4 linked regions of the Lepisosteus oculatus genome follow. The protein of the gene in region 4 interacts with the protein of the main gene of each other region in a pairwise test. Links are inferred from orthologs where the notes say so. Each region holds a gene or a part of one and is shown on either strand. Other genes may lie near its edges. The genes, in order: tmem79a, homeza, mad1l1 and rnf8.

What was found.
Region 1: the proteins of rnf8 (region 4) and tmem79a interact in binary tests that used the Homo sapiens proteins (3 or more experiments, as listed by UniProt). The two-hybrid records come from large-scale screens. The link is inferred for Lepisosteus oculatus from reciprocal best matches to the Homo sapiens genes RNF8 and TMEM79.
Region 2: the proteins of rnf8 (region 4) and homeza interact in binary tests that used the Homo sapiens proteins (3 or more experiments, as listed by UniProt). The two-hybrid records come from large-scale screens. The link is inferred for Lepisosteus oculatus from reciprocal best matches to the Homo sapiens genes RNF8 and HOMEZ.
Region 3: the proteins of rnf8 (region 4) and mad1l1 interact in binary tests that used the Homo sapiens proteins (3 or more experiments, as listed by UniProt). The two-hybrid records come from large-scale screens. The link is inferred for Lepisosteus oculatus from reciprocal best matches to the Homo sapiens genes RNF8 and MAD1L1.

Annotation. Positions count from the first base shown.
Region 1 is NC_090722.1:6,315,343-6,322,972, forward strand, and holds the start of tmem79a (transmembrane protein 79), read right to left. Parts: upstream 3,004-7,630; 5' UTR 2,895-3,003; intron 1,932-2,894; 5' UTR 1,829-1,931; coding exon 1,165-1,828; intron 706-1,164; coding exon 502-705; intron 243-501; coding exon 29-242; intron 1-28. Other genes in the region: msto1 (protein misato homolog 1), read left to right, coding at 5,999-6,082, 6,930-7,065, 7,521-7,590.
Region 2 is NC_090699.1:13,251,775-13,259,331, reverse strand, and holds the start of homeza (homeobox and leucine zipper encoding a), read right to left. Parts: upstream 3,018-7,557; 5' UTR 2,499-3,017; intron 137-2,498; 5' UTR 1-136. Other genes in the region: dhrs1 (dehydrogenase/reductase SDR family member 1), read right to left, coding at 7,334-7,470. UniProt on the Homo sapiens protein: May function as a transcriptional regulator.
Region 3 is NC_090714.1:1,968,463-1,975,478, forward strand, and holds the start of mad1l1 (mitotic spindle assembly checkpoint protein MAD1), read right to left. Parts: upstream 3,010-7,016; 5' UTR 2,644-3,009; intron 2,116-2,643; 5' UTR 2,080-2,115; coding exon 1,933-2,079; intron 616-1,932; coding exon 475-615; intron 1-474. Other genes in the region: mrm2 (rRNA methyltransferase 2, mitochondrial), read right to left, coding at 3,476-3,900, 4,381-4,666; nudt1 (oxidized purine nucleoside triphosphate hydrolase), read left to right, coding at 6,461-6,612. UniProt on the Homo sapiens protein: Component of the spindle-assembly checkpoint that prevents the onset of anaphase until all chromosomes are properly aligned at the metaphase plate.
Region 4 is NC_090697.1:43,193,747-43,201,628, reverse strand, and holds the start of rnf8 (E3 ubiquitin-protein ligase rnf8), read right to left. Parts: upstream 3,017-7,882; 5' UTR 2,936-3,016; coding exon 2,810-2,935; intron 1,963-2,809; coding exon 1,834-1,962; intron 1-1,833. UniProt on the Homo sapiens protein: E3 ubiquitin-protein ligase that plays a key role in DNA damage signaling via 2 distinct roles: by mediating the 'Lys-63'-linked ubiquitination of histones H2A and H2AX and promoting the recruitment of DNA repair proteins at double-strand breaks (DSBs) sites, and by catalyzing 'Lys-48'-linked ubiquitination to remove target proteins from DNA damage sites.

The sequences.
Region 1 (7,630 bases), on a different chromosome or scaffold from region 4:
AGGGGTACAGACAGGAAGAGGGGGTCACCTGGCGATGGCGAACAGACCGGTGAGCAGCGGTACGAGCTTGAGGGTCTCCTGGCTCAGGTAGGTGGACAGCACGGCCAGGTTGAGGAAGAAGAGGAGGAAGAGCGAGAGGGAGTCCTGGACGAAGTGCCGGTGCACCCAGACTTCTCCTCGCTCCTGGCTCTGCGGCATCAGAGAGGCCCAGCACAGCCGGGACAGGCCCAGAACCAGCACGCCTGCGGAGACAGAACCGGGACAGACCCGTGAGCCCAGCACAGCCGGGACAGGCCCAGAACCAGCACGCCTGGGGAGACAGAACCGGGACAGACCCGTGAGCCCAGCACAGCCGGGACAGGCCCAGAACCAGCACGCCTGGGGAGACAGAACCGGGACAGAGACCCGTGAGCCCAGCAGGACGGAACCAGAGCAGAGACCCGTGCCGCTTCTGTCGCAGGAGGAGGAGGAGGGCGGGTGGGCGGGCGGGTTCTCTCTCACCCAGGACCACGGGCACGGTGGCGAAGGCGGCGCAGCGCAGGGTGTAGACCAGCCTCAGGGGGGCGCCGGGGAGCAGGGGGGCGTCAAACGGCAGGAACACAAACCCGCCCCACAGGAGGAGAGGGAAGATGAGGGCGGCAGCAACCAGAGAGGAGAGGGACTTCAGAGCATCGCGACCACGGCAACCGCAGCACCGACCACGGGCTGCAGAGAGAGGAGGCACAGGGTTCAAGCACAGGTCTGGACCGGGAGAGATAGGAGACACAGGGTTCGAGCACAGGTCTGGACCGGGAGACAGAGGAGACACAGGGTTCAAGCACAGGTCTGGACCGGGAGAGATAGGAGACACAGGGTTCGAGCACAGGTCTGGACCGGGAGACAGAGGAGACACAGGGTTCAAGCACAGGTCTGGACCGGGAGAGAGAGGAGACACAGGGTTCGAGCACAGGTCTGGACCGGGAGAGAGAGGAGACACAGGGGAAGGCACAGTGTAGACTGGAAGAGAGGGGAGACCTGGGGGAGGAGAGGGGAGACACAAGGGAAGGCACAGTGTGGACTGGAAGAGAGGGGCAGAGACGACTAAGGATTAGAGGTTTGTGGGGGGACGGGCTAGGGTGCCCCAGTTTGATGGAGAGAGTACTGGAGAGGGCGCCCCGAAGTTACCATGTGATGGACCGTCATCTTCCGGCCAGTACCCATCTGGGGGGGTCCCCTGGCGGTTCAGGAAGGGGCTCTTCTCGGGGTCCCCACCGTGAACACACAGCTCCTCCCTGTCCGCAGACTTCCTGTGCAGGCCGGACCTGGGGCCCAGGATCCGCACGCTGGGGCTGAACACCTGCGCCGCCTTCTCGGGCAGCGAGTTCACGAGGGGGTCCTCCTCCATCTCCGCCCCCGTCGCCCCCAGAACCCCGCTGCCCTTCTCGGCCTCTCGCTTCTCTGCTGACCACAGCAGGGTACTGGACTCTGTTAAAGCTGACCTTACCTCCTCCTCCTTCTCCTCCTCTCCCTGCTCCTCCTTCACTCCCACCTCCTCCTCTCCTACTTCCTTCTTCACTCCCCTCTCCTCCTCTCCCTTCCCCTCCTTCACTCCCACCTCCTCCTCTCCTACTTCCTTCTTCACTCCCCTCTCCTCCTCCCCCTCTCCCTTCCTGGTTCCCTCCTCCTCCTCCCCCTCCATCTCTTCCTTCTTCTCCGTCTCCTGCGCCCCCTCTCCCGTCAGGCCTGGTTTGAGGGGTACAGAGCTCAGCGAGCCATTTTCAAGAGGACGGTCCTTCCCCTCGTCCAAGAGCAGCTCCGATTCGGGGTTCGCGGTCATCCGACCGGGCATCCTGGGACTGGTCTCTGCTGCCTGTCCTGGGCTTCCTTCCACAGTTATTCCGAGGACTTTCCAGGACCCGGCAGGTATGTTTTCGACCCAACAGAATAAGGAACTAGGAAAACAAGTTGATACAAGAATTTGGAAAGAATTTGTTTGTGTTACTCAAACAAGCCGTTTGTACAAGCTAGCTGGAGACACTGCTGTCCCTCTCCTCTCACACTGCCCCTGAATTCACACACTGACACCCCCCTGACTGGACTGGAGACACTGCTGTCCCACTCCTCTCACACTGCCCCTGAATTCACACACCGACACACCCCTGACTGGACTGGAGACACTGCTGTCCCTCTCCTCTCACACTGCCCCTGAATTCACACACTGACACACCCCTGACTGGACTGGAGACACTGCTGTCCCTCTCTTCTCACACTGCCCCTGAATTCACACACTGACACACCCCTGACTGGACTGGAGACACTGCTGTCCCTCTCTTCTCACACTGCCCCTGAATTCACACACTGACACCCCCCTGACTGGACTGGAGACACTGCTAGAGACATGTTGTCAGGACACGAGTGGAAACTACAGGTAAGCCAGTTAAAACTGACAGAGAAGGTTTCTTCATACAGGGTGTTGTTAGTTATGCAGGTAAAGCCCCACCCAGTCATCAATCCTTCCCTTCGATTGGTCAGGTAACACGCCATTCATTCCAAAAGCCTTTTGTCATTGGCTGAACTCCAGTTGTTGTTTTTTTACCAAACGTTCGGAATGCGAGAGGGGGAAGTGGGAGCCTACAGGAAGCATTTGTTTATCAGAAGACCTTCTTTCAAAAAAAAAGTTATGTTATTTGGGGAGAAATGCGTGGAGATAAGTATTAGTGAGACGGGCATAGGCGTAGTGTGTCGTCTCCGATAGCCAAGTCACACTGAGCACTTTAGTCCAAACTCGGCAGCCAGTTCATGACGCTTCGAAACCATGTGGACATGTTTCATCAAACGTTCAACGCCCGCTCGCTCTACGTCCGGTGCTCTCGAGAAGACATTATAACGATTATAACGATTATAACGCCACTTACTCAGCGTGCCGCGAAGCCTCCGTGTGTCTCTCTCTCGCCGAGACGAGACGCAGGTGTGCCCAGGTGGAGCTGTTAAAGGCACAGGCTGCTCTTAAAGGAGAGGTCTGGAAGGAAAAGCGTCCCCTCACTGCCCCCGCAAAACAGAAAGAAACGTTAAGAGCAGAAGTGCCCCCTGGTGTCTGATCTGCCCGAGCGCCCATGTACCACCAGCCAGGTCCTCTGATTTTTATGAACAGCACAATTACTGATACTTCCTACCTGGCCTGGGGGTGATTTATAACTGTACTTGTAGTATTACTGATACTTCCGGCTGGGCTTGACGTTGGTTTATACTGTAAGGAGCTGTACTTGTACTGGTTTTTTTTTTCAGTCCTCAACTGCAAAAGACCTTCACAAAAATCCCAGTTGGGCATCATATCTTATTTAATTAAGAAAGTTAATCATCCAGGCGGATGCTGCACATTGGTGGTGGTGGAGGGGAGTCCCCATTACCTGTAAAGCGCTTTGAGCTTCTTCTTCTTCTTCTTTTTCACAGCCTCAGTCCCAGACTGTCCTGGGGTCAGCTGCTTTGGTTGCTCTTCTCCACTTGTCTCTGTCGAGCACATCTTCCTCACTCACTTCACATACCTCCATATCTTTTCTCACACAATCTATCCATCTCTTTCTAGGCCTGCCTCTTCCTCTGTTACCTTCCACCTCAAATTCCATTACCTCTTTGTTACTTCCTCAACGTCCCTCCTCATGATATGTCCATACCACCGTAACCTCGCCTCTCGCATCTTCTCAACCACATCCACCACCCTACATCGTCTACGGATTTCTTCATTTCTGATCTTATCCTTCATTGAAATCTGCAGAATCCATCTCAACATCCTCATTTCAGTTCTTCTCATCAAGTTCTCTTCCCTCTTTCCAACTGCCAAGCATTCAGCTCCATACAGTAGTACAGGTCTAATCACAGTCTTGTACATTTTGCACTTTAACTTTCTAGGAATTTTCCTGTCACAGATTATTCCAGTTATTTCTCTCCACTTGTTCCATCCAGCTTTCACTCTTTGTTTTACTGCCTCCAGTGTTTCTCCTCCCTTTACCAGTTTTGATCCAAGGTATTTAAAGCCATCAACTTGTTTCAGTTTTCCTCCATTTGTCTCCTCAACATTGGTCATAGTATCTCCTCTTCTCTCCATTACCATTATTTCAGATTTTTCTGCATTTTTCTGCATTCATTTTCAGTCCACCCTTTTCCAGACTCCTCTGCCATTTAAACACAAAGCTCCTGTAAAGCGCTTTGAGCAATTATTATTATTAAATATTAATTATTAGTCATTAGGTACATTGTTTAATTGCCTGCTCAGGTTGGAACTAAAACCAGAAGATGCCAACCAAGCTAGGAAGTGAGTTTGCGTCCCCTGGCTTAGAAAACAGTTCAGTCGCTCAGGGTTCTGTCTGGGGGGAGTTTGCATGTTGGTTTCCTCCAGGTGCTCCGTTTTTCCTCCCACAGTCCAAAGACATGCAGGTAGATTAATTGGCTTGTGGGAAAACTGTTCTTGGTGTGAATGTGTGTTTGTCTGTCTGCCTGCCTGGCCTGGTGTTCCATCCAGGGTGTGTGTGTGTGGGTGTGTGTCTGCCCTCTGATGGACTGGTGTCCCGTCCAGGGTGCACCCTGCCTAGCGCCTGTTGCTTGCTGGGATAGGCTCCAGCTCCACTGCATCCCTGAATTGGAATAAGTTGTTATAAGATGGAGGGATGGATGTATCATTGGTCAATGAAACATGGAGCTTTTGTCCTTGAGTTTTCTGACCTTTCGTTCCAGATCTTTTCTAAATAACTCCATTGAACAGGTTACCTGCTGCTGGTCGGAGTCAACTGGTTCCTGATATTAGAACTCTGTGATTCTAGGGCGACACGGAATACCTGTTGGACTGGGGTTCCTGCAGACCAGGGCTGGGAACCCCATCTGAGAGGTACAATACCCATAATCCCATCACATCCCATAACCCCTTTTCACTTCAGAGTCATGGTGACCAAGAGCCTGTCCCAGCAAGCACTGGGCACACCAATAATCAAACTATTAAAAAATAATCATTTCCTTACCCCGCCCTCCCATAAGTGCTGTTTGCAGATCTTTGGTAATTGAGTTTATTTATTGATACACGAGTGAAGTGTAGATCTGTTAACCCTGGTCTCCTGGCTCCAGTCTGGGCTGTACAGCCTGACCTCTCCGAAGCTCTCCCAGGATTCCCTTGGGGCAGCAGTGTCTCTCTCCCCCCCTGACCTGTGTGCAGGGGGGCTGCTGTGTGTCTCCCACATGGATGGGCAGTGAAGTGAGTCTCCACCTGTATGCAGGGCGCTATATGTAATTTTTCATCGGAATGAAAAAAGGTGCAGATCGAATTGTTTTTTCGCTAAAAACAAAATGTAGGGATTTGGAACACATTCTGTTTTAGAAATTCAGTGAATTTTACACGAAATCACTTTGAAACTATTCATAGTATTACAATATGATATTACTGTATTGACAGAGATAATTTCTTACCTTCGAGTCTTTTCCAAACACTGCAGTGATTTACAAAATTGACTACCTTTACTGTAAAAAAACAATGTGATAAAACAGCTTCTATACTAACTCATGTGCCGTATGTAAACATGTTCAGTATTATCTACTGTAGTCCACAACACAACTGGAGTGTGTACATTCGTGAACCCGCCCCTAATTTTGAACCAATCCGAGCTCCTGCTTACTCCTCTCCTCTGCCATCCAATTGGACAGCAGCTTCCTTCTCCGCTCCAATCAGAGAGCTCGCTGCTCCACGTGTGTTTCCCTGGTGCCGTGCAACCAAACCCGTTGAGCGACAGGAAAAACTAGAACATTCTGAAATACAACACTCTTAGCCAATCGCAATACGATGTGTTGCCCGTTAGCCAATCCCAGGGACTAAGACCTGTGCGTGGAGGTGGGGTCTTGTTTCGCAGCCTGGGGTTAGATTGAGAATCCTGTACTCACGGCCGGTGAGAGTTTACGCGAGTGTTCTGATATTATTTTATGAATTTTCCGAAGGAACATTTATATTTTATCCCCGTTAGACGGATGTTTGTAGGGCACAATGGCAAACGTGTGTCGCGAGGTTGTGACCCTGCAGCTGGGACATTTCTCAAACTATGTGGGGACCCACTGGTGGAATTTGCAGGTATTTAGTTAATTTAATATTTAATATGAACAAAATCAACATTAAGTTTATAGATGCGTAGTATTGTGTACAGGGTGACCACAGATTGAGAATATCCTGTCAGATTTGTATGGGCCGTGCCTGAGTCACCACTACGAGATGTCTAAATGTATATTGCATCAACTCTAAACTAGGTGCGTGTATATACAGCATATAAACAACTTGTACATTGAAATAGGTTTAGATATATCTGACCATTTCCTTTCAATTATTTAAATCCTGTTAATTAATTAGTAGTCTTACATTTTTTTGTGAAAGAAAGAGACAACTTCATGATGTTACGAATTGGAAAAGCAAACAGTTTGAAGTGCGACTTTAGTACTGGGCAGGAGAGTCTTAGCAAATCATAGCCCAGCAAGTTTTGAATTTCTAAATGAGGTGAAGAGGTTATGAATTTTCCTTTCCATAAAACCACATTTTCACATTAATTCTCCATCATTATTGTTCGTTTCAATTTAGTCCTTTATTTTACCAGCTAGGACAGTTGAAAACAAAGTTTCCCTTTTAGTTAAATTCTCACTGCCAGTCTGGGACAGACAGAGAGCTGTAAAGGAGCCAAGGTCTCACTGTGATCTGTGTCAGTGTTACAGATAGAGACACAGCCCTTCTAGAGTCAGGATATTAATCTCACTGCCAGTCTGGGACAGACAGAGAGCTGTAAAGGAGCCCCAGTCTCACTGTGATCTGTGTCATAAGCACTTGTTAGAGAGAATTAACCTGGGAGAGTATTGTAAGTGGCCCCAGGTTGTTTGAAAAAAATCGAACAAACTTAATGAAAATCTCTGTTCTTCTTCACCGCCCTGTCCAGGATGCTGCTCTGTGCTACGACCCGGATTCCCCCAGCCCCCCCAGCGAGTTGCTGAGTGATGTCCTATTCCGGGAGGGGGTCACACTGGGGGGACAGACCACCTACACCCCCCGCCTCATCACACTGGACCTCAAGGGTGGGCCTGATGCTCTGTGTGTGGCACTCTCAACTCTGCGATTCTTTTTTAAAGGAAGGGATATAAATGAAGCTGATCCACTCCAGGATTTACAGTGCTGTCAGTCAGACCCCCCCAGTCCACAGCAGTCTGATCCACTCCAGGTTTTACAGTGCTGTCAGACTCCCAGTGCACAGCAGTCAGATCCACTCCAGGTTTTACACTGGTGTCAGTCAGATTCCCAGTGCACAGCAGTCTGATCCACTCCAGGTTTTACAGTGCTGTCAGTCAGACTCCCAGTGCACAGCAGTCTGATCCACTCCAGGTTTTACAGTGCTGTCAGACTCCCAGTGCACAGCAGTCTGATCCACTCCAGGTTGTACAGTGCTGGCAGTCAGACTCCCAGTGCACAGCAGTCTGATCCACTGCAGGTCTTTAGTAGTTCTCCTACCTTCATTGTCTCTCTCTTCCGACAGGAAGCCTCAGTACCTTGAGGCAGGAAGGCAGCCTCTATGAGACAGGGAAAGAAGTCAGAACTTTCACCTGGTGAGTCACCTTCTCTCTTATTGTGTGTGTTACTAGTAGT
Region 2 (7,557 bases), on a different chromosome or scaffold from region 4:
ATCTTGTTATTTCAGCCGAAGGGATGGGGAGAAGGGAGGGGGGAAAAGATGTCTTGTTCTCTTCTGGTCTTCTCTGTCCAACAACAAGGAGGCACTGTGCTCAGCAAACAAACTCCCCCCCTCGCAATGGGATGTTCTGTTAAGTGATGACAAAAAGGCCGTTATGGTTTCCTATAGTCACTGACTGGACACTACAGTACATTAACACTGCACTGAGAGAGAGGGGTTCATACAGACACACTGACTGACTGGACACTCCAGTACATTAACACTGCACTGAGAGAGAGGGGTTAACACAGACACACTGACTGACTGGACACTCCAGTACATTAACACTGCACTGAGAGAGAGGGGTTAATACAGACACACTGACTGACTGGACACTCCAGTACATTAACACTGCACTGAGAGAGAGGGGTTCATACAGACACACTGACTGGACACTTCAGTACATTAACACTGCACTGAGAGAGAGGGGTTAATACAGACACACTAACTGGACACTTCAGTACATTAACACTGCACTGAGAGAGAGGGGTTAATACAGACACACTAACTGGACACTCCAGTACATTAACACTGCACTGAGAGAGAGGGGTTCATACAGACACACTGACTGACTGGACACTCCAGTACATTAACACTGCACTGAGAGAGAGGGGTTCATACAGACACACTGACTGACTGGACACTCCAGTACATTAACACTGCACTGAGAGAGAGGGGTTCATACAGACACCCTGACTGACTGGACACTCCAGTACATTAACACTGCACTGAGAGAGAGGGGTTCATACAGACACACTGACTGACTGGACACTCCAGTACATTAACACTGCACTGAGAGAGAGGGGTTCATACAGACACACTGACTGACTGGACACTCCAGTACATTAACACTGCACTGAGAGAGAGGGGTTCATACAGACACACTGACTGACTGGACACTCCAGTACATTAACACTGCACTGAGAGAGAGGGGTTCATACAGACACACTGACTGACTGGACACTCCAGTACATTAACACTGCACTGAGAGAGAGGGGTTCATACAGACACACTGACTGACTGGACACTCCAGTACATTAACACTGCACTGAGAGAGAGGGGTTCATACAGACACACTGACTGACTGGACACTCCAGTACATTAACACTGCACTGAGAGAGAGGGGTTCATACAGACACACTGACACTGGCGTTATTAATACAAAGTAAACACAGCAGTATTAAACATGAAGACACGCAGTAACCCCGAAAGCAAGACCGATACAAGTTGCAGTAAGGGATTAGTTATTAACTGAGATTATGATCAGAGCTGTGTCAGTGGTCGAGAGGGTACGTATGATAATGTTTCAACAAATTGTGGGTGCTGTGCCTGCAGGACTTGTAGGTCTCCTGAAAGCAACAACAGCATCACCTGAGGAGCTGCTATACTGGTCCACGAAGCCAATTATTAATAAGGAAGATGAGAGGAGGCTCTTCTTTACACAGACAGTGGTGGGGGTGGAGAACAAGCTGCCCAGCCCTGTTGTTGAAGCCGATACCCTGGCTTCTCTCCAGACACAGCTGGGTGAGACCCTCCAGTCAGGACAGGAGGCTCCTCTTTACACAGAGGGTGGTGGGGGTGGGGAACAAGCTGCCCAGCCCTGTTGTTGAAGCCGATACCCTGGCTTCTCTCCAGACACAGCTGGGTGAGACCCTCCAGTCAGGACAGGAGGCTCTTCTTTACACAGAGGGGGGTGGGGGACAAGCTGCCCAGCCATGTTGTTGAACTGGACACAGCTGTCTGAGACCCTCGGAACGACTAACTGGTAACTTTCTGATCGGCCGATCTCTTCGTCCACCTCACCAACAAGCCGTAGACCCGTACCCCTCCAAAAACAACATGTTTGTTCTCCCTCTGACGCAGGTTATCAGAAGGATACCGCCTCAAAGTCACGCTAGCGGAGCACGGCCGCGGGCGAAAGCAGTCACGGAATCCCCTCCCACGCACAGCTCACGGACACAAACACCCCCCCCAGCAGAAGCAGCTGTTTCCGCTGGGCCCCCGGAAGACGATTCACCCCGCGAGAGAGTTCCACGGCCGGGTGGGCACCGGGGCGGACAGCCCCTGCTCCGGACACGGGGGCGGGGGGAGGTGGACACACGGTCATCGGGCCACCATCTCACACACACACATACACTCGGCTCCGTCCCGCAGCCTCGCTCGCACTCGCCACGGCCACCCCCGGGGCGCCCCCAGCCCCCCCAGCCCGGACTGGCCCGGGGGTCCTACGGGGGGGGGGGCAGGTCAGCGAGAGGCCCCGTCTGTACAGCCCCTGCAAGCCCGCTCCCCCCGCGGCCACACAGACACGCCATCACATCGCCATCACGGCGCAGCACCCCCAAAACAACAACAACGACAACAGGCACCCCAGCCACCCCGGCGGGGCTCACTATTGTCCCGGCGCCGTGTGCGCGGACAGCGGGGCAGCGAGGCGGCGGAGCCGGACTCACGGGGAGGCTGAGGTCGCGGCGTCTCCGGCTCTCCCGGCCGTCTCCCCTCCGCCGGAGCCCCGCCGAGGAGAAGCCGCGTCTCCGCCGGGCGGTGCGGGGTCTGCGGGGGCCGGACAGCGGCTGGTGTCGCTCCGCTGCTCTTCCAAACACCGGAGACCGTCTGCGTGCGTGTCCGTCTCTCCGCCCCCCTCCGCTCCGGACTGCTGGCGTGTTTTTTCTTAAAGAAGAAAAAAAAAGTTAAATAAAAGTCCCGAGTTTAAACTCCAAAGCAGGCGGAGGCCGCCTGCGTTCTCGTTGTCGTGTTTCTGCCGAGGGGGGGAGGGGGGGTCGTGTTTTCGGCCGGGCGCTCGCTGCGTCCCTCTCTCTCCTGCTCGCCGTGTTTTTGTTCTGAGCCGCTACGCGAGGCCGGGCGGGAGCAGGAAACTCGGGCAGCTAGGCCTCGGTCTCCCGGGGTGACGGCGGGGGGCGGGGCCCGCTTGCCATTAAAGGCGTAGCGGCGCGGGGCAGCCGGGACTCCGCTCGCACCGACTAGTTGGGAGAAAGGGGGCGGAGCGAGCGGGGTCAGGGGGCGGGGTAACGATGGGAGTACGTGCTCCAGGTAACGTAGAGCGAATAGGGCAGTTGCAGAAGGTGATGGGAGGGGGGGGGGTTGCGCTGTGAGGGCCGCCATCTTATGAAGGTATTCCTGGAAGAGGTTTTGGTTTTAAAGAGAGAAGGAAAGATATAGCTTTATTGTCCACCCACAAGGGCGGCAGTTTGTCTCGGGCGTCACCGTACACAACGACACTCAACGTGAAATATGCAACCAACGCATATACACACATCCGTCTCGTATATTAAAGCGCATATTTCTGCCGGTTACGGATGGGGTACGTTTATTTTGGTTTCATTTAGGCTGTTAACTGTTTATCGCCGACCTCCTTGTACACCGGCCGCGGAATTCTCCTGTTGGAGCTGGGAAGTGCAGTCAAGCCAGGTCATGAAGCGCCGGGGGCCGGAGTTTACTCTGCTGTTTCTGAGCGGGAGGGAGTGTGACTCCGGAGAGGTCCGATTCCGAGCGGGCACGGCAGTGTAAACGCGCTGGGTCTTTCGTATTTAGCCAGGAGGGGGCGGTTATCGCCTCCACCCCCTCAGCTCCACCGGCTCGAGTCTAGATCAGGGTCCCCTTTGTGTGGAATCGCCGTGAGGTTTAATAATAATAATAATAATTGCTTACACTTATATAGCGCTTTTCCGGACACTCCACTCAAAGCGCTTTACAGGTAATGGGGATCCCTCCACCACCAGGTACCTTCTGTGTGGAGTCTGTGGGTCTGAGGTTCCTCCAGGTACCTTCTGTGTGGAGTCTGCGTGGTGTCTGTGGGTCTGAGGTTCCTCCAGGGACCTTCTGTGTGGAGTCTGCGTGGTGTCTGTGGGTCTGAGGTTTCAGGTGTCTTCTGTGTGGAGTCTGCGTGGTGTCTGCAGGTCTGAGGTTTCAGGTGTCTTCTGTGTGGAGTCTGCGTGGTGTCTGCAGGTCTGAGGTTCCTCCAGGTGTCTTCTGTGTGGAGTCTGCGTGGTGTCTGCAGGTCTGAGGTTCCTCCAGGTGTCTTCTGTGTGGAGTCTGCGTGGTGTCTGCGGGTCTGAGGTTCCTCCAGGGACCTTCTGTGTGGAGTCTGCGTGGTGTCTGTGGGTCTGAGGTTCCTCCAGGGACCTTCTGTGTGGAGTCTGCGTGGTGTCTGTGGGTCTGAGGTTTCAGGTGTCTTCTGTGTGGAGTCTGCGTGGTGTCTGCAGGTCTGAGGTTCCTCCAGGGACCTTCTGTGTGGAGTCTGCGTGGTGTCTGCAGGTCTGAGGTTTCAGGTGTCTTCTGTGTGGAGTCTGCGTGGTGTCTGCAGGTCTGAGGTTTCAGGTGTCTTCTGTGTGGAGTCTGCGTGGTGTCTGCGGGTCTGAGGTTCCTCCAGGTGTCTTCTGTGTGGAGTCTGCGTGGTGTCTGCAGGTCTGAGGTTCCTCCAGGTGTCTTCTGTGTGGAGTCTGCGTGGTGTCTGTGGGTCTGAGGTTTCAGGTGTCTTCTGTGTGGAGTCTGCGTGGTGTCTGTGGGTCTGAGGTTTCAGGTGTCTTCTGTGTGGAGTCTGCGTGGTGTCTGCAGGTCTGAGGTTCCTCCAGGTGTCTTCTGTGTGGAGTCTGCGTGGTGTCTGCGGGTCTGAGGTTTCAGGTGTCTTCTGTGTGGAGTCTGCGTGGTGTCTGCGGGTCTGAGGTTCCTCCAGGGACCTTCTGTGTGGAGTCTGCGTGGTGTCTGTGGGTCTGAGGTTCCTCCAGGTGTCTTCTGTGTGGAGTCTGCGTGGTGTCTGTGGGTCTGAGGTTTCAGGTGTCTTCTGTGTGGAGTCTGCGTGGTGTCTGCGGGTCTGAGGTTCCTCCAGGGACCTTCTGTGTGGAGTCTGCGTGGTGTCTGTGGGTCTGAGGTTTCAGGTGTCTTCTGTGTGGAGTCTGCGTGGTGTCTGCAGGTCTGAGGTTCCTCCAGGTGTCTTCTGTGTGGAGTCTGCGTGGTGTCTGCAGGTCTGAGGTTCCTCCAGGTGTCTTCTGTGTGGAGTCTGCGTGGTGTCTGCGGGTCTGAGGTTCCTCCAGGTGTCTTCTGTGTGGAGTCTGCGTGGTGTCTGCGGGTCTGAGGTTCCTCCAGGGACCTTCTGTGTGGAGTCTGCGTGGTGTCTGCGGGTCTGAGGTTCCTTCAGGTACCTTCTGTGTGGAACCCCCTGTGTCCACAAGAGCTCTCTCATCTGTGTTCAAGAGCTCCTCCTGTTCTGTGGCCAGGAGCTCTCACCTGTTTCCAGAACCTCTTGTCTGCGTTCAGGAGCTCTCACCTGTTTCCAGGACCTCTTGTCTGCGTTCAGGAGCTCTCGTCTGTGGCCAGGACCTCTTGTCTGCGTTCAGGAGCTCTCCCTGTGTTCAAGTTCAAGATGTGTATCTTTCGCAGACAGATGCCCATCCTCTCGTGTGCGTCTCAGGACTCCTGCCTGTCGGGCTCCCTCATCGCAGAGAGAGGGGCTCATCGCAGCCTGTCCTGACGCTGGACAGAAAGCTGATTTCGATGGGGTGTGTGCGTGTGTGATGAACACTCCTCCCTGGGTCTCTGGGAGCTGTTATTGATAATTATAATGATAATAATTGCTTACACTTATATAGCGCTTTTCTGGACACTCCACTCATAGCGCTTTACAGGCTAATGGGGATCCCCTCCACCCCCCCAGTGTGCAGCCCCACCTGGATGATCCGACGGCAACCATAGTGCGCCAGAGCGCTCACCACACATCAGCTGAACTCCTCAGAGAAGTTCACATTCATCCTGAAAGATGAGCTGGAGTGTTTGAAAGGACTGTGGAGAAGACACTGAAAGCACTAGTATAGTTCAGAGCAGCTCCACAGATCAAAGCTCTTAGAGCACTATTATATTGACACTTTAAAACCCGACAGAACTCTGATGTGGCCGTCACTGTACCTGTTTTTCATGATCAATTTCACCGTTATCCTCTTAAGGAAAGAAATGCAAAGCTCCTACTGTGATTACCGTGTAACACTTAATAAAACTGTAAAAAACACCACTCGCACATTTAGAGTGTAAAACTAGTGCAGTACAGCACACTTTACTTCAGCTTCTTTAATGCAAAGTATAATACATTACGTTTAGAACAATGCTGGATTAATGACAAATAAAATGCTGTTTATTAGTCACTGGAAGCCTTCAGGGTGAGCTGACCTGGTGTTGGACAGACAGGACAGGCAGAGTCATCGTACTGATGGACAGGGGTTCAGTGTGAAGGTCAGAGGTCAGCGGGGTGTGTGTGTGGGGTAGCTGACCTGGTGTTGGACAGATAGGACAGGCAGAGTCATCGTACTGATGGACAGGGGTTCAGTGTGAAGGTCAGAGGTTAGCGGGGTGTGTGTGTGGGGTAGCTGACCTGGTGTTGGACAGACAGGACAGGCAGAGTCATCGTACTGATGGACAGGGGTTCAGTGTGAAGGTCAGAGGTCAGCGGGGTGTGTGTGTGGGGTAGCTGACCTGGTGTTGGACAGACAGGACAGGCAGAGTCATCATACTGATGGACAGGGGGTCAGTGTGAGGGTCAGAGGTCAGCAGGGTGTGTGTGGGGTAGCTGACCTGGTGTTGGACAGACAGGACAGGCAGAGTCATCGTACTGATGGACAGGGGTTCAGTGTGAAGGTCAGAGGTCAGCGGGGTGTGTGTGTGGGGTAGCTGACCTGGTGTTGGACAGACAGGACAGGCAGAGTCATCGTACTGATGGACAGGGGTTCAGTGTGAAGGTCAGAGGTCAGTGGGGTGTGTGTGGGGTAGCTGACCTGGTGTTGGACAGATAGGACAGGCAGAGTCATCGTACTGATGGACAGGGGTTCAGTGTGAAGGTCAGAGGTCAGCAGGGTGTGTGTGGGGTAGCTGACCTGGTGTTGGACAGATAGGACAGGCAGAGTCATCGTACTGATGGACAGGGGTTCAGTGTGAAGGTCAGAGGTCAGCAGGGTGTGTGTGTGGGGTAGCTGACCTGGTGTTGGACAGACAGGACAGGCAGAGTCATCGTACTGATGGACAGGGGGTCAGTGTGAAGGTCAGAGGTCAGCGGGGTGTGTGTGTGGGGTAGCTGACCTGGTGTTGGGCAGACAGGACAGGCAGAGTCATCGTACTGATGGACAGGGGGTCAGTGTGGGGGTCAGAGGTCATCGTACTGATGGACAGGGGGTCAGTGTGAGGGTCAGAGGTCATCGTGCTGATGGACAGGGGGTCAGTGTGAGGGTCAGAGGTCATTGTGCCGATGGACAGGGGATCACTGTGTAGGATCAGTGGGGTTACTGGGTCAGAACCGTCCGTGGAGCAGAGTGAGAACAAACTTGGGAAGACGCAGGAAAGAAGGGATGAAAGAGGACAGCCAGGAGAGGTAGGGCACTTGGGAGACGAGAAAACTGACGGACATGTTGTCAAACACACTGCGCCCTGAGAAACACAGAGAGAGAGAGAGAGAGACGTTAATGATACAGACACACTGAGAGAAACGACACTAGTCTTCTGTGTCTTACTGAT
Region 3 (7,016 bases), on a different chromosome or scaffold from region 4:
TCTTCAAAGTGCAGCAAGGCATGCATGGCAGAACGATTATATACATTTATATAGCAAAAACAATACTCTGTATTCCCCATCTCCAGTTCTTTGCATGGCTTGTTTCTGAACAATTTTTCATGTCATGGAGTCAGAGAAAAAGAAAACACAGCATGAAAGATAGACAACCTTTCTGTGAATTTCTACTTTCATTCTATTCAGACTCAGGTCCTACTGCCCATCTTCACGTAATTATCTTAAATATACAGCAGATTTTTGTTTTACAGGTGATTACACAGAGCAGTCCTTTTCTTAAAAGTAGAATTAGCAATAAAACAACTTGGACCCGAGTGTGAAATGACAGTATCTGAGACCACAGAACAAAAACCAGAAGATACAAAGCTGAACTTTGAGAGCGACCACCATGCAGAATTGTGTTTAAGACCCCCTGGCGGAATGAAACACAGAGATCAGAACTGCATCTTCAGGGCTCACCTCCAAGTCCCTGGCACTGGTGTGGGCTGCTTTTTCCAGCTCAATGCGGGCACGTTTGTGACTGAACTCCATCTGCGACTTCTCTTGGGCCATTTGTAAAAGATGGGTCTTGGAGAAGATTTTCTGAGCTTCCTCTTCCACCTAGAAATACATCGATAGTCACACAGCTGTTACAAGCTGTTAATATAACTGTGTGCACTGCTGTATCAGGTGATGGTGTTAGTGCCCACATCCCCAACACTGAGCCCTACAGCACAGGCCATGTGCTAGTTTTCTTGGATGCACTGTGCAACAGTCTTATACCTGGTCATCGGAGAGAGGTGGTGATGGCTGATGTGCCAAACTGAGTAGTGGTGTGGGATAAAGTCAGCTTTCTCCACCCTGCTTCATTCAGCGAATGGCTCGCTACCTGCCAGCGCACGGCCATGGAATTTCCACCCCGTTCCCCCTGCCTCAACCCCAGAGAGGAGCTGTTGTCTGCGTGGAGGTGAAAGGTTCATGATCACGGGCCACGTGATCAGATGTCTCTGCTGCACGCGTGAACGCCGGTTGTGGGGACATTACTGCAGTAGCTTGCAGGGGACGACAGCGTCGTGCCAGACTGTTGTTCTCTCGCTGTGGCCTGACTGGGAGTCGAGACCGGCCAACCAGTGAGATGTGTCCAGTTCAACGTTTGTGTTTATACTTTCGTTAAGTTTTCATTTGGTTGGACTCCTTGTCTTTGTGGATCTACTTGATTCAATCACGGAAACACTGTTTCCAATGTTACACTGTTTTCACTTTCTGTATGTGCATTAGTTTCATTTTACTTGAATGAAAACTTCTACCGTCCATGATACAAAGAAAATGCAAAATCCCGAGCCAGGGATTCTCCGGGACATTGGTTGACTTGACGCCGAATGAGAGGTTATAGTTTAATTAATGTCTCGATTAAGATTGAGACTGATCTGCTACTGAACTGGCTTATACTATATAGTACTTTCACAAAAATACAGTTTTATTAACTGCTTTTCGCAGTAACATATAGATTGCTCTTAATAGTGAGGCTGAAAATGTGGATTTTTAACAGCACTCAAGAGAATCCAAACAGCTCTCTTAACACCAGACACCAATTTGAAACTGGTATGAAGAACCTTCATACCAAATCTACATTAAATAATTTCCCCATGGCAAAGTAAGATAAATTAATTCCATTACTTACAATGCAGAGAAAGTCTTTACTGATGTAAAAATCAGTAATGTTTTTTTAAAAAAACAATCAATGTAACATACTGTCCAAAGGTGTGTTGATCTAACATTGTTACTAAAAAAAAAAACATTTCAGACCAAATAGTTAAATAATATTTGATTTCTTGAGAATCATGCATTTTAATTTTGTAATCGTGCACAATCTAATAAGCTCACTGTATGCATCTTGCATGGCTGAGCTCAAATGCTTATCTAGAGAACTGTACTCACCTTAAACTGGTAGTTGTACTGGAATTGCAGGTCACTTTTACTCGCGCTGGTTTCAGGCTGGCTCGTTGAAGCGTCATGTTGCGAGAGGAAACTCTCAAATGACTTTAAAGTGTTGAAGACGGTGGTATTGTCCTGCATGTTGTCCATTTTGAACTGGTTTTACTTTTTTCTTTAGAAAACAATCTGGAAGGCAAAGAAACGCACCTGAAAAGTGTCCGCCAAGCTCTCACCGCTACCGCTTGCAAAGCAAACAACCCTCAACAAAGTTTCAAAATGTTGTTTATGTTTATAAATCGTGTTATGACTGCTCCATTATGCTCAGTATCCTTTTTTTAATAAAAGCAGGAACAGATTTCCAAGCAATGTTTTCGTAGTATTGTCGAAGGTCATCATTAAGCTTTCCAAATGACTTCACTCGTGCAATAAAGTGGATTTTAACGGTTTAATATCTTAATGTTTGCGATAAAGGCACGTGAAAAGCAAGCTGAAGTTTGCATTTGCTTGGCCAGTGTGTTGCACACGAGTACTGTACACAAGAAAACTTAAACTATATATGCACAACTGTTTGGGTCAACCAAATTTCCAAAACATGCATCCATGTAATAAACCAAAATTTCAGCTGTCTAAGCACAACTCATATTACTTTACAAAAAAACACGACCATGTCAAAAACATGTAACATTTTTGAGAACACGCAATTTTCGATGATACCTTATTCCTTACTGCTTGGATCTCCCTCCTCCAACCCAGAACAGATCTACCTTCTCGCGAGAGTTCCTAGATGCTTGAGCGTAACGAATATAATAGCGGGGCTTAAAGGATATGATCGTTTACCGTAATACCTAGTCACCCTCACCATTTTTATAGGATTTCTGAAATTTGCAGTGGTTCAAATGTAATAAATGCTGCCCAGACCCTAAAACATGTATTTATTACTATTACTGGATGGCAGTACTCGGTTTATTTCTTCTTAGTTGGGGAAACATTATATATTAAAACAACAAAATACAAATGGGGAGTTTATAGCATGGATCTCCTTTTAGTCCATATCATTCTCCATTCACCAACTGCACAAATCTAATCCTTGTTTTATTTTTGAAATGTATAAAACTCTGCTCTTCACACACACACACAAACAAACACCATAAATCACAGGCCTGCAATACGTTACAGAAAGAAGTACGTACTGTAGTTTAATACAAAGGTCATGATGTCAAGTCCAGTGAAACCGAACACGTTTTTGTCACTTCAAATAAAATTACATTGCGTTAACAATAGGTTCATCATCTGTTTATAAAATAAAACCCAAGAAACCAAGATTTAAGGCTTTACAGTGTCTCGTGTTTAGGCCCTTACAGTGTGTCTGCAGCAATGAAATGTTAAACTCATGTTTGTTTGTTTGTTTTTCATTCTCAATTTTGGCAACGTCTCTTGCTGGCCTTGGGATAAAGTGCACATCATTTTGAAGTTTTTTTCCCAATTGTAATCTCACAAAACTCCAGTTTTTTAAACAATTGAAAAAACTGGAGGAAAATGCTAACAATCATTTGTCCTTGTAACTCTTGGCCAGGAAAAACAGCTCGGCGGACTCCTTCCTGCTGGCTTTAGGCTTTATGGTCCTGACTTCCTTGAAGGCCTGCGCCAGCTTCTTGTGGAGCTGATGGGCCAGTCCTCCGTCCCAGACTTTACACAGCAGAGTGCCTCCCGGACGCAGGACCCCCTCGGCCATGTCCACCAGGGAGAGACACATGCCGACCAGCCTCTCGTGGTCCAGCTCCCTGAAGCCGCTGGCGTTGGGCGCCATGTCGCTCAGGATGACGTCGGCCACGGAGGCCGGGAGAAGCTCCTGCAGGCGGGCAGGAGTGGCCGCGTCCGTCACGTCGCACGGGGAGAGGAAGTGCGCTCCGTCCAGGGGCGCGAGCCGCAGGAGGTCGACTCCGACGACAAAGCCCGCCGGCAATCCGGGATCTGAAACAAGGGAGAAGGCAGCACTACAAGCTGAACCAGTCTCATCCGTGTTCATGTACACAGAGCTTCTAATGCGGGGGTGGGCAACTCAAGTCCTGGGGGGCCGGTGTGTCTGGGTGCTTTCATTCCAAGCCAGCGCCTCACGAGCTAAACCAGGCGGTGACTAGCTACCTGCCTACACTGGGCCAACTGAACAGTTTCTCCCAGCTCGTCAGCTGCTGCGTCTTTGAAGAGCCCCACAAAACCTGCAGCGCCAGGACGGTCCAGTTTGGTGCTGACGTAACCGAGGTGCATGCTGGCTTCAAGGCCGTCTTAAGTGCTAAACTCCCATCTGCCCTGATCCTTATGGAAGCTGCCAAGCCCTAACCCCATCTCATCCAGTTCACCGAAACTACACAGGGTGTGCGCTTGTAATGTAAGACGATGTTGTGTTGGGCTGCAGTCAGACCCCAATTTAAAACACACCAAACATGCGCTCACCTGCCCCCGACGAGTTCACCCTCTCGACGGCGACCTGGCTCCACGCCCCCGGCGCTGCGCCGCAGTCAATGACGCGGAGCCCCGGCCTGAGGATGCGGTGCTGGTCGTCGATCTCCAGCAGCTTGAAGGCGCTCCGGCAGCGGTAGCTCTCCCGGCGGGCGGCCTTCACATACGGGTCGTTGATCTGCCTGGCGATCCATCGCTGCTCCGGAGCGCTCTTGCCTTTCGTGTTGTGTGGGCTCTTCCTCCAGCACCGAGCCGAGGCGTGCAGAGCCCTGCGCAGCATCCCTGGGAGAGGAAACACATCGCAACAAGTCCAAAACGCGCAGGGTCGCTGATCAAACTTTGTACGTATAGAGTGTACAATGCCGTGACTGTACGGTAAAGTTTCATACCACTGAGCTACACATCAACTCTTTATTCAAAGCAGGGCTGATTTCAGCCTTTTTTTCTATTGATCTACTTGATCAAAACAAATGGTTTTAATCCAAAAGGCTGAGGTCCATTCCTAATACGAACCTCAGCTTCATTTCTGCAAGACCCACTGAACCGACCTGTCATGTCAAACGAGTCCTAATTTGTTACTGAACCGCTTAAGTTTTAGAGGGTAGGACTAGCAGACCTCAGACACTTTCATTTTGAGGGGAAAATGCAATCACTTAATCTGAGATGCTAGTGGGTTACTAATTATTGGTTGCAAATTATATTACACTACAACCAATTCAGGAATAGCACCGGGCTGCATTGAGATTTTTGAATCCGTACAAAAGCGGTAGAACGAAGTTATGAATAACATCGATAATTAAAACTACATGAAGCCTTTACGTTAAAAGTTGCAAAATGTCACCTTTTCTCTGAAAGCACGTTTAAAAAGGGACCTTGATAGTACTCGTAAACATTAAGGATGAACACGCTTCCGTCACATATGACCTCCCGCACGTCCTCCCCGTGTTTCCAGTCGGACAGGTTTCAGGGTGGCACGCCTACAGTGAGCTGGGGAGTCATGTGTGTGGCTACCCGCTGGACTGACTTTCGAGGGAAGAGGCAGCTGTTGCAGAGTTACTGAATGTGCATCTGCTGCTATTGTTCACACATACTTTAGATGGTATCGTTCTTGGGTATGAGACTTGTTCTGTTTAATCAATTCACTTTTTTTTAGCCTTTAGGTCACTTTCAGATTGCTCATGCATGTCCATAGAAAATTATCTGACTATATGCAAGGATGTACTTGTATTATCCGGAGCTGGTGACGTCTATAGTAGTTAGGAAGGCAATTACTGTGACAAAAGAAGTTAACTGTATTGAGATGTGAATGAATGCGGTGTCGAGAAATGTACAGAGCAGGCTATGCAAATACAGCACAGTGACATTGTTCTTGTTACACTAAAACTTAATTAACGTTTTTCTGGGAATTTGTACGTTGTCTGGCCAATCTGTTTTCAGAGCAATTGTCCCGGCAATGATCACGGCACCTTACCGTACAAACTGTGAAAAATAATCAGTTTTGAGGCATAAAGTAGTGTGCTAAATAATATCACGCAATGCAGTATCTCACTGTTCAGAATCAAGTACATTCCATAGAAGTAATTTGAAAATGTCATATATACTGTATGGACATATATAACTTGGAGTAGTCTGAACTGTAGTGTTCAAATAAATTTTGAAGAATAAATGTGATAATATGGTATGCAAGTGTTAACTGTTGTTTTTAAAACAATTGTTTCAGGATTTCAGACCGCAGACCTGCAGCCGTCATAAAGCAATGGAACCGGCAGAGCTGGTGTCTTTCTGAACAGCTGAAGGGCTTCTGTCCGAGGGCTTGTGCCCTGAAACAAATGCCTTTTTTATGAACTTAAAGTTTGTGTCCGTGTGCACGAGCGCTTCCAAAATTAAGTCCCCAATTTGTCCATTTGCACACTGCGCAACGTCTGGGGGTCAGCGGCGTTCATACAGTAATCTTTCCACAGGTGTTTAGTCAGGTGCTTGACATGAGAGTGTGATCCTGGTCACTGTCTCTCCCGTGACATTAGAGCGCGGAGAGGGATTCAGTCGTGTGTGTGTCCTTCCCTGCAGCAGCGCAATGATCACTACCAAGCTGTTGACCCTGGTCATGGTGGTACAGCCTCAGCGGGTTCTCCTGGGCATGAAGAAGCGTGGTTTTGGCGCAGGGAAGTGGAACGGCTTTGGGGGCAAAGTTCAGCCGGGAGAGACAATCGAGCAAGCAGCGAAGCGGTGAGTCCAGTCACGAGGAAGCCTCATACCCCACAGAAGGTATTCAAATAAGCGAAACCCAAATATGGTAAACCCACAAACATTTCAGTTTAAGCTTAAGTTTATTTTTTTAAAATATGAACTATTTGAAATACAACAAAAGGTACATATGTTTTAGAAGTGTTTTTGGGGGGGGCGTAGGAATAAAACAGTGATCCCTCAGTGCAGAACTTATAGTTGAGCCACTAAATATTACGTACACTTAATTTGGTTCATTTGAATTCACGATTGGTAAAGCATCAGTAAACATTCATGATCTTAAATTTACCTTAAAATGTCTAATGAAATAATGCCCCACTAAAATGCCAGCAGAAGCCTGAATCAGATGGGTCGTGCTTGGTAGTGATAAAAACTACCAAAGACCT
Region 4 (7,882 bases):
ACTGAGGCATAAGCTGTAGCTGTAGTGTTGGCTGGGTCTACGTGTTTCATGGGGTTTGTCCAGCTTCCAGTCTACCTCTTGCTGATGGCGATGGTCACAAACAATAACTGTTGCTGTTGATGAATAGAATTGTCAGTATCCGACTAAAAATTGGAGAACTTGATCAATCCATCAAGCTTCAAAGAGATATACGTCTCCAAGCATTTGCTTCTTTCTTTACACAAATGTGTTGCTGTCCGTTCTGTCACATTAACACCAATTTTGCTAGAGGCGCCAAATGGCCTCCTCTTGTCTGTAACCTCTTCTAACATTTCGATACATATTACATTAATTGCTTTATTATATTCTTAATGGCGTCTACAGGAACAAAAAAAAAACACTGCAATTTGATCCTAACAGAAATATACAGCAGGTATTTTTGTAGATATATTTAGGTATATATTAATATGTAGAAATATTCTGTATTTCAAAATTCTACAGCTTGGATTATATGGATAATTTTGTTTCTGTCTTGGATTCAGATCGGTGAACAAATTATTCATATTGTAAGGCAACAGAAACACATCGTCATTAATCGCATTCAAGAAAATAAAATCTCTTTTTAAATGGTTTTAAAATGATCAAGGCTTTATATAAATGTTATTTTTGCGTCTCGACTAGACTACTGTATTTAACTAGGCATTTATAGTAACTGTTTATTAACGGTTAATGTAAGGGTTAGCAGATTTTAGATCACTTGATTTAAGTTTCAATAAGTTATATGAACATTTTAAACTGTTAATCTCTAAGAACCATTTTTACCCTGAATTTAATGCTTAGGAAAGGAGGCAGTGTTGAAAGGGGGAGTCTATTTCAGAAACTGGTCTACTCCTCTGCACAGTGGGGACTTCATCTTTTTTTGTGAATTCAATTCACAAGTGGAATATTAGTCTAAAACAAGGCTCATACTTATCTTGCGATGCCTGATGCGACAAACTCTATGATGTCCAGTGATTTATGAAAACAATACTTCAGAGCATTACGATTTATCACTGTAAAGTGTGTATATGACAACATTTTTTTCATTTGGTCTTTTTCATAACATATCTGTACCTATCTGAAAAAATGCTACAGGAGGGTTTATGGAATCCAGCGCTAGCTTTAGGTCACTTGCTATGCAAGGAAACACCTCTAAGATTTTTCTACAATTCTACAATTTGCAGAACAATAACCTGATTAAATACTGAACATGTACATCATTTTATTAATGTTCTTATTAATTCATAAATGCACGTACAAACTGCATTTCATAATACTAGAGATCATATTACATATGCAGCAAAACCAACCCATACTAATATTTAGTTATAGGTCAACTATAACTAAATATTATTTTTAGTGTGGCGGGGCAGTGGCCTTGTGGTTAAGGATCTGTGCCTGTGGCTGGAAGGTTGCCGGTTCGTATCCCGTGGCCGGCAGAGGAATCCGTCTCCATTGGGCCCCTGAGCAAGGCCTTTAACCCCAACTGCTCCAGGAGTGCCGTATAAATGTCTGACCCCGGGCTCTGACCCCAAGCCTCTTTCCCTGTCTGTGTGTCTGATGGAGAGCAAGTTGGGGTATGCAAAAAGACAAATTCCTATTACAAGAAACTGTATATAGCCAATAAAGTGATCTTATCTGTTATCTTATCTATTCACAAACCACATCTCAGGAATGTTCGGCCAACATTCACAGTGTCTTCAGGCAGAATAACAACTATGGGACCATTAGCAGTCTACCAGAAATTGAAACACAAAATCCAAAACCTATGCAAATAATACCCAACATAGTATGAAACTGAAATAAAGGCTCTACCTTATTATCTGTCACTGTCCAATGTCCCTCTTCATTTTGTTTGAATTTGCAGTGGTTTCTGGAAATCATTAAAGGACAGCTCCTTGACAGGGTTTGATAAGTGACATCAAAGCTTCGCCCAAGTGTCACCTAAGACAAGAAGAGGCATTATTAAAAATCAAGGTTTACTACTGAGGGCTTCTAGGCAAAGAATTACTACTGTTCTCCTGAACTTTAAAATGTAGCTTGACTTTACAACTTGACAAGCACTGAGGAACTTCAGATAAGATTTCTTTACTAGTGCAGTTGCAAAATACATGCGCCACTTGAAGGGAGTTTATTTTTGTTTGAAAGCTTAAATCATCTAAATCCGATTATTGCAACGTGCTTTTTAAAATTGTACCAATAGTATGCAGGCGATTAACGAAGACAAATGTTATTTTGATCCTTTAAACGATGAAGAGGGTGGGCTTTCAGATAGGTATAACAAAATAAACAAATTATTTATCTGTTTGTATTTTTAAACATGTAAATGTATGTGCAAGGAATAGTCGCTAGTGTTTCAATTACACTCGGATCCAGGTAGATGTGTAAACCGGGGAAACAGGAGTTAGGGGACTTCACCAATTCCACATTTTCATCACTTTCAGGTGACGAGTTCCGTTCTGCAGTGATAAACACCCCAGAATACAAACATGGATATGCTTCTGAAAAAAATATTATTGCATAACTAAAAAAACACCTTCTATTGCGATCCCATGTAACCCCATCCCTCCGCAATCATCGTCATTCGGCACAAAACACACATGAGATGTATTAAAAAGTAAAAGACTTGAAAACAGAAGCACGCAGCTCCGGTGATTAGGATCATATTTGCAACTTTTTACGACTCAAAATACAATTAAGACATTTTTGCAGGTACGCCACTTAGCTAAAAGTGTGAAGGGGGAGGGGTGTTTAGTACTGAAAGAGTAAATGAGAGGTAAGAGAACAAGACCTCTTCTTTCTCGGGCAGACGGAGCCACTCAGCCCTTTTTCCGACTCTTCTCAGGCACCAAATTTCATCTTTCGCGGCATCGTCTTCCTCGCCTGAAACCGCTCCAGACTCTGCTTCCTCTGCCATTATCCTCAGCCCATGACACTACCTCAATAACACAAAAAGTTAAACGCCCATAATTCCACGCTCTCTTGTGGTATTCACGTTCCTGCGCGCTTTTCCGGCGTGAAGCGCTGAACACCATAGAGGTTCTAAAAAAAAGGAGCGTTTCGTCACGTATCTGAAGGAATATCAGCGCCATCTTGGTGGGGTGGAGGACAAAAAAGATCTAACTCAGAATTCATTACATTATTATTCATTACACTTTAAAACATGATCATTTCTCTTTGTTAATCAAGTATTTGTGTTAATATACTCTAAAAAATATAATGTGCAAATATACAAAGCTAATTTATTATGTAACCCACACCATTTCCATTACTGAATATTTTCTATCAAAAGGAGGAGACAATGGGCATACATTATGAGATAACTTTTTATCAATATTGGCGGTAAATAGGTTCTGTATATATTTAAAAGTGCAGAGCGAATCTAACAATTAAACTGAAAATGAATGAAAAATACTGTTGGCTATCACTGGTCTCTCTATTTCTCATTTTGCAAGATTTTTTCTGTTTTTCGGAATTGTGCTCCTTGGAACATATTTGTACAGAAGGAATGGTAATCCATTATTTAGCCACATACATTAGTAGTTAGAGAACAAACAGTAAAATGTAGAAAGGGGAACAGAAGTCATCAGGAGGAGCAGGGTTTCCTTTCTGTAAGCACACAATAGCTACACCTACGTACCTGTAATCTGTTTTAAATATGCACATAAAGAAATGTGTGCGTTCTCTGAAACAGTCGACACATCTTTGTGTTTTTTACAATGTAAATGATGGGACTCTTTCAGCAAGAGAAATGTAATAAATGAGATTAGGGACAAACACTAGTTATGTATATGTGCTACTGAATGTGCATTTCTAGGCAATTTATCTGCTTCTGTTGGTAGCTGTGGATGGCTAAGGGAACAGTGGACAAAAATAGCAAAACAACGGAGATGTTTTCTTTGATGATTGTGAGAATAGAAAGGATGTTGATATCCGCTCTCAAGACTGACTTACAAAGTCTTTGAAACAATAAGAAAAATAGATTTTTGTAAGGCAGAACATGCTGTAGAGGAGGTATGGAGTGCATCAGCAGGTTTGTAATACACAGAAACCTTCAGTTCCAGGTGGCTAATATACCTACTTTTTGTATGTGCAGAAAAAGAAGAGGAGTGAAAGAGATGGATGGAAGTGGGTGAAGTGATGTAAAATTGCTGTAGTAGATTGCTAGAGCAGGTAGCAGCACCAACAAATTCATCATTGTATCAACGTCACCTAAGAAGTATCTTGCTTGTCCACAATCTCGTTTCATAGATCTCTTGCAGACAGCACTGCCATTAACACTGAAGAACTGGCGATGTGTTTCAGGCAGAACATGTGAACAGTAAGGATCAAAGGTTTCACCAAGACAACAGTTCCCTGATATACTGCACCTCTCTCAGACATTATTACATTGAACTTTGTCTTTTTCACATCTTCTGCCAGCTTGCAATCCTTGAAATCTCTCCGTTCATTTACAGATTTCTGCCTTAAACATTGCTCCACCGAATTCCATGTCTTTGGAGGACCCAGATTCAGATTCAAAGAACTTTATTGGCTTGACTGATGAATTATACAGTAGTGTTGCCAAAGCAGAAACAATGAACAAATCATTTACATTTACAGTAAAAAAAAAACATACTTTATTATTGGACATTGAAAGACATCATATAAAACTTTATTCTGAGACAGGCTCACTATATGTTCCTCAGGCTGTGAAAGGACAACACTGGGCTGCCGGTTCTGGGGAGTTTCCTCCCCGCTCCAACAACAGGATTGGAAACCATCCCGATTCTGGAAGGAGTGAGGCACCTTTTTTCATCTGCAGTGCCCATCCTTACATACCCTCTATGTGTTCTCCTTAAAGCCCCCTTTTCTTGTATCCCTTTTCTCTCCATCCTTCTTTCACATACTCACAGAAGAATCCACAGCTGAAATGTTGCATTTTTAATATTTTTTTCTTTCTACTTCCAGCATGGAATTAACCTCTCCTTGTTCCTGCTCTTCAGCTCCCACACTCGAACCTCTTAAACATACCATATTTGTATTTCAAATTTATATAATATTATAGTATATAGTATAGTATTTAATATTTAATATTTTCAATCCAGTTTTCCTTCTTTTTCATCGAGCAATATTAAGACACATTTGTGAAAGACTACAGTTGATTAATGAAGTAGACTTTTCCGTTTTGCGATTACATTACTAAGAACTACAGAAATGCTTCTTTCAAGAAAACACTAAATTTAACTCCACCTTCTGACAAATCCTGTGAATCAGTCCTTGAGTTAGAAAAAGTTAGAGTTAGTGGAGACAAAAATAAGGAGAGTGTTTCTTTGTTCTATATGAGTATTTGCACCTAAAAGGTATAATAAACAAAATATATAATTTAGATGTTTAACTACCACAGCTTTTGAAATCAAAGACTTCTGCAAAGAATGTTTATATTTTGTGATGCAATTGTATTGTTAATTATCAGGTGTATTATCAATATTGAAAACTGCACAGTGTAATTGTTATTAATTTATTTAATTTGACACTTTAAAAACTGATTTAAAATATCATAACACTCTAACAACTTTTTGATCATTTCCAGAAAAAGTGATGATGGCTTGTTTGGGTGAGATTTAAATGTGAACAAAAAAGGTGTGGTTGCTTATACTTCCATTAACAATGTTTGTACTATAAAATTTTGTGTGCAATAAACAATGTAAGTCAGATAAGTCACTTTGACCAAATAACACATTGTTATTTTAGCCCTGCAAATGAATACGGTTTGGCATTGTCAGCACATTTAATTCCTTTTGTTTTTTCTGTTGCTTCCTCGAATATAGAGGTCATTGATCTAGCTTTCCTCGTGTGTGTGGGAATTTCACATCGTAGCACAGATGCTTTTTGTACTTTGCACAACCCTCTGTCCTCTCAAAGGCACCTTTTTATTTTGTTTGGGGTTTTGATATGCACATAACAATTAGAGAAAATAAATCCAAGCCCCTTGTTGACTGTGACTAACCTTAATCTGAGTTCTTAATATCTAAAGAAAATGTCAGGCGTTACACGAGTCAAACATAGTTTAAGCTTCAATACATGGTTTGGAAGACTGATATTCATTTATTGTCCCACGGGTGTAAATTTCAGTCTCTTTTTGCCATGCATCTGCATCCATCCCTCAAGCCTCTCCACAATAGAGATGTGGAGTTTGAACATAAACTCAGAATGACAGAGTTGCACAAAAGGAGACAAAACAGATGGGGATGATAAAGTTCCACATCACTAGAATGGGATCTATTGTCTGTAATACAGTATATTGAACAGGCTTCTTGGAAAGGAAAGCAACAACTAAAACTGCTAAAGATTTTGAAGTGAACGTTCTCAGGAGCAACTGAAGCCCTGAAGCTTTTGTCTTTCTTTCCATATAGTGTTTCTTTCTGAAATATTCCTTAAATTCATTTAAGGCTTACATTTCTTAGTAATCTGAGAATGCCGTCACCAAAATATTAGTTTCCAGCTACCTGCAGATGAAAATCATACACTTTCATACTTTGCAGGGTTTTGTTAATTTAAGAATGAAATATAATGTATTTGTGCAGTCACAGATGTGCACAAAGAATAATGTTACAGTAGTTTGCAGTTCTGAGTCTCATTAGAGGAAACCTTCTAATGTACATACTTGCTTTTGAGTAATGGTGCCAATACAGAAAAGAAAAAGAGAAAAAACAATCATGGTAAAATACAAGAAAATGAATAGAAATTTAGCAGTTCCAGGAATTAATTACACTTTGGAATTAAACAAGCTTGCCAGATTTCTTATCAATCTTTGATGCTTTCATTTTTAAAATCTTCTGTATTTTAGTTACATTACCTTATGAATTTTGCTACTTAAAATCTCAGTAGATGTCTTGCACATACTGTATTTTACACACACAGAAAGTGGTTTGCATTCTGTAACCCTGGGGTGACGATTCAAGATAAGAGAGTCTATATACAGTATATGGCAATACATAGATATGTCATTAAAAAAAAAAGAAGGTAACACAAGCCTTGTTTACCCACTGTTACCGTGTCATACAGCTGTCAAGAAAATGTTTTATAATGGTACCGTTTATGTTGAAACAGTACAATTATAAAGACAGGCAAGCAATGCAAAATAAACGTTTACTGGCAAATTCAACATACGCCTTTAAAACTTTAGCTTCAGGGTCTTTATATACAGTACAATGAAATCTGCAAACTAATTTGATGAATTACTGCTCCCCTGAAAGGAAGAGTAATTTAAGATTTAATCCACACAGGCATTTAGGATTAACAGAAAAAAAAAAAAGATGTTAATTCAGAAATCCATTTTAATCTTCTTAACCTTAACCTTTCATAAAATTGGCTTTTCCATGTATTGTTATCCATTCGGCCAACAGCTGTGTCAGAACTAACTTAGACGATGTAAATATTTCATACACATCTCAGAAACTTCGGGTAAAGAAATTAAATTTGAACACCAAGAAGAGTGGTATAATAAAAGGTTGCTCCATAAACAAATTACTTACGAATAAAAGTGTATTGGTTTATTGTGCCATTAAAATATAAAAATCAATACAATAAAAATGACTTAATATTTTTCCAGAACTGATGAAGCTTTAAAAAAATAAAACATTAAAATGGGCAACCCTCAACCCAATGAAATTACCCTGCTTTTCACATTCTCCAACATGAACACAGACCTCTCTTCTGAGCATGTCAGTGAAGCCCTCTCGAAGCACAAAATCACAGTGCTTACATCTGCTCCATTTTGTGCTTGTATTGACGTGTACTGTATATGTTTGTCTCCAATTCAAGGACAGCATCAAAAGACAAAATCTCATTAGTCAGGTCATCCAAATGCAGTTTAAAACTG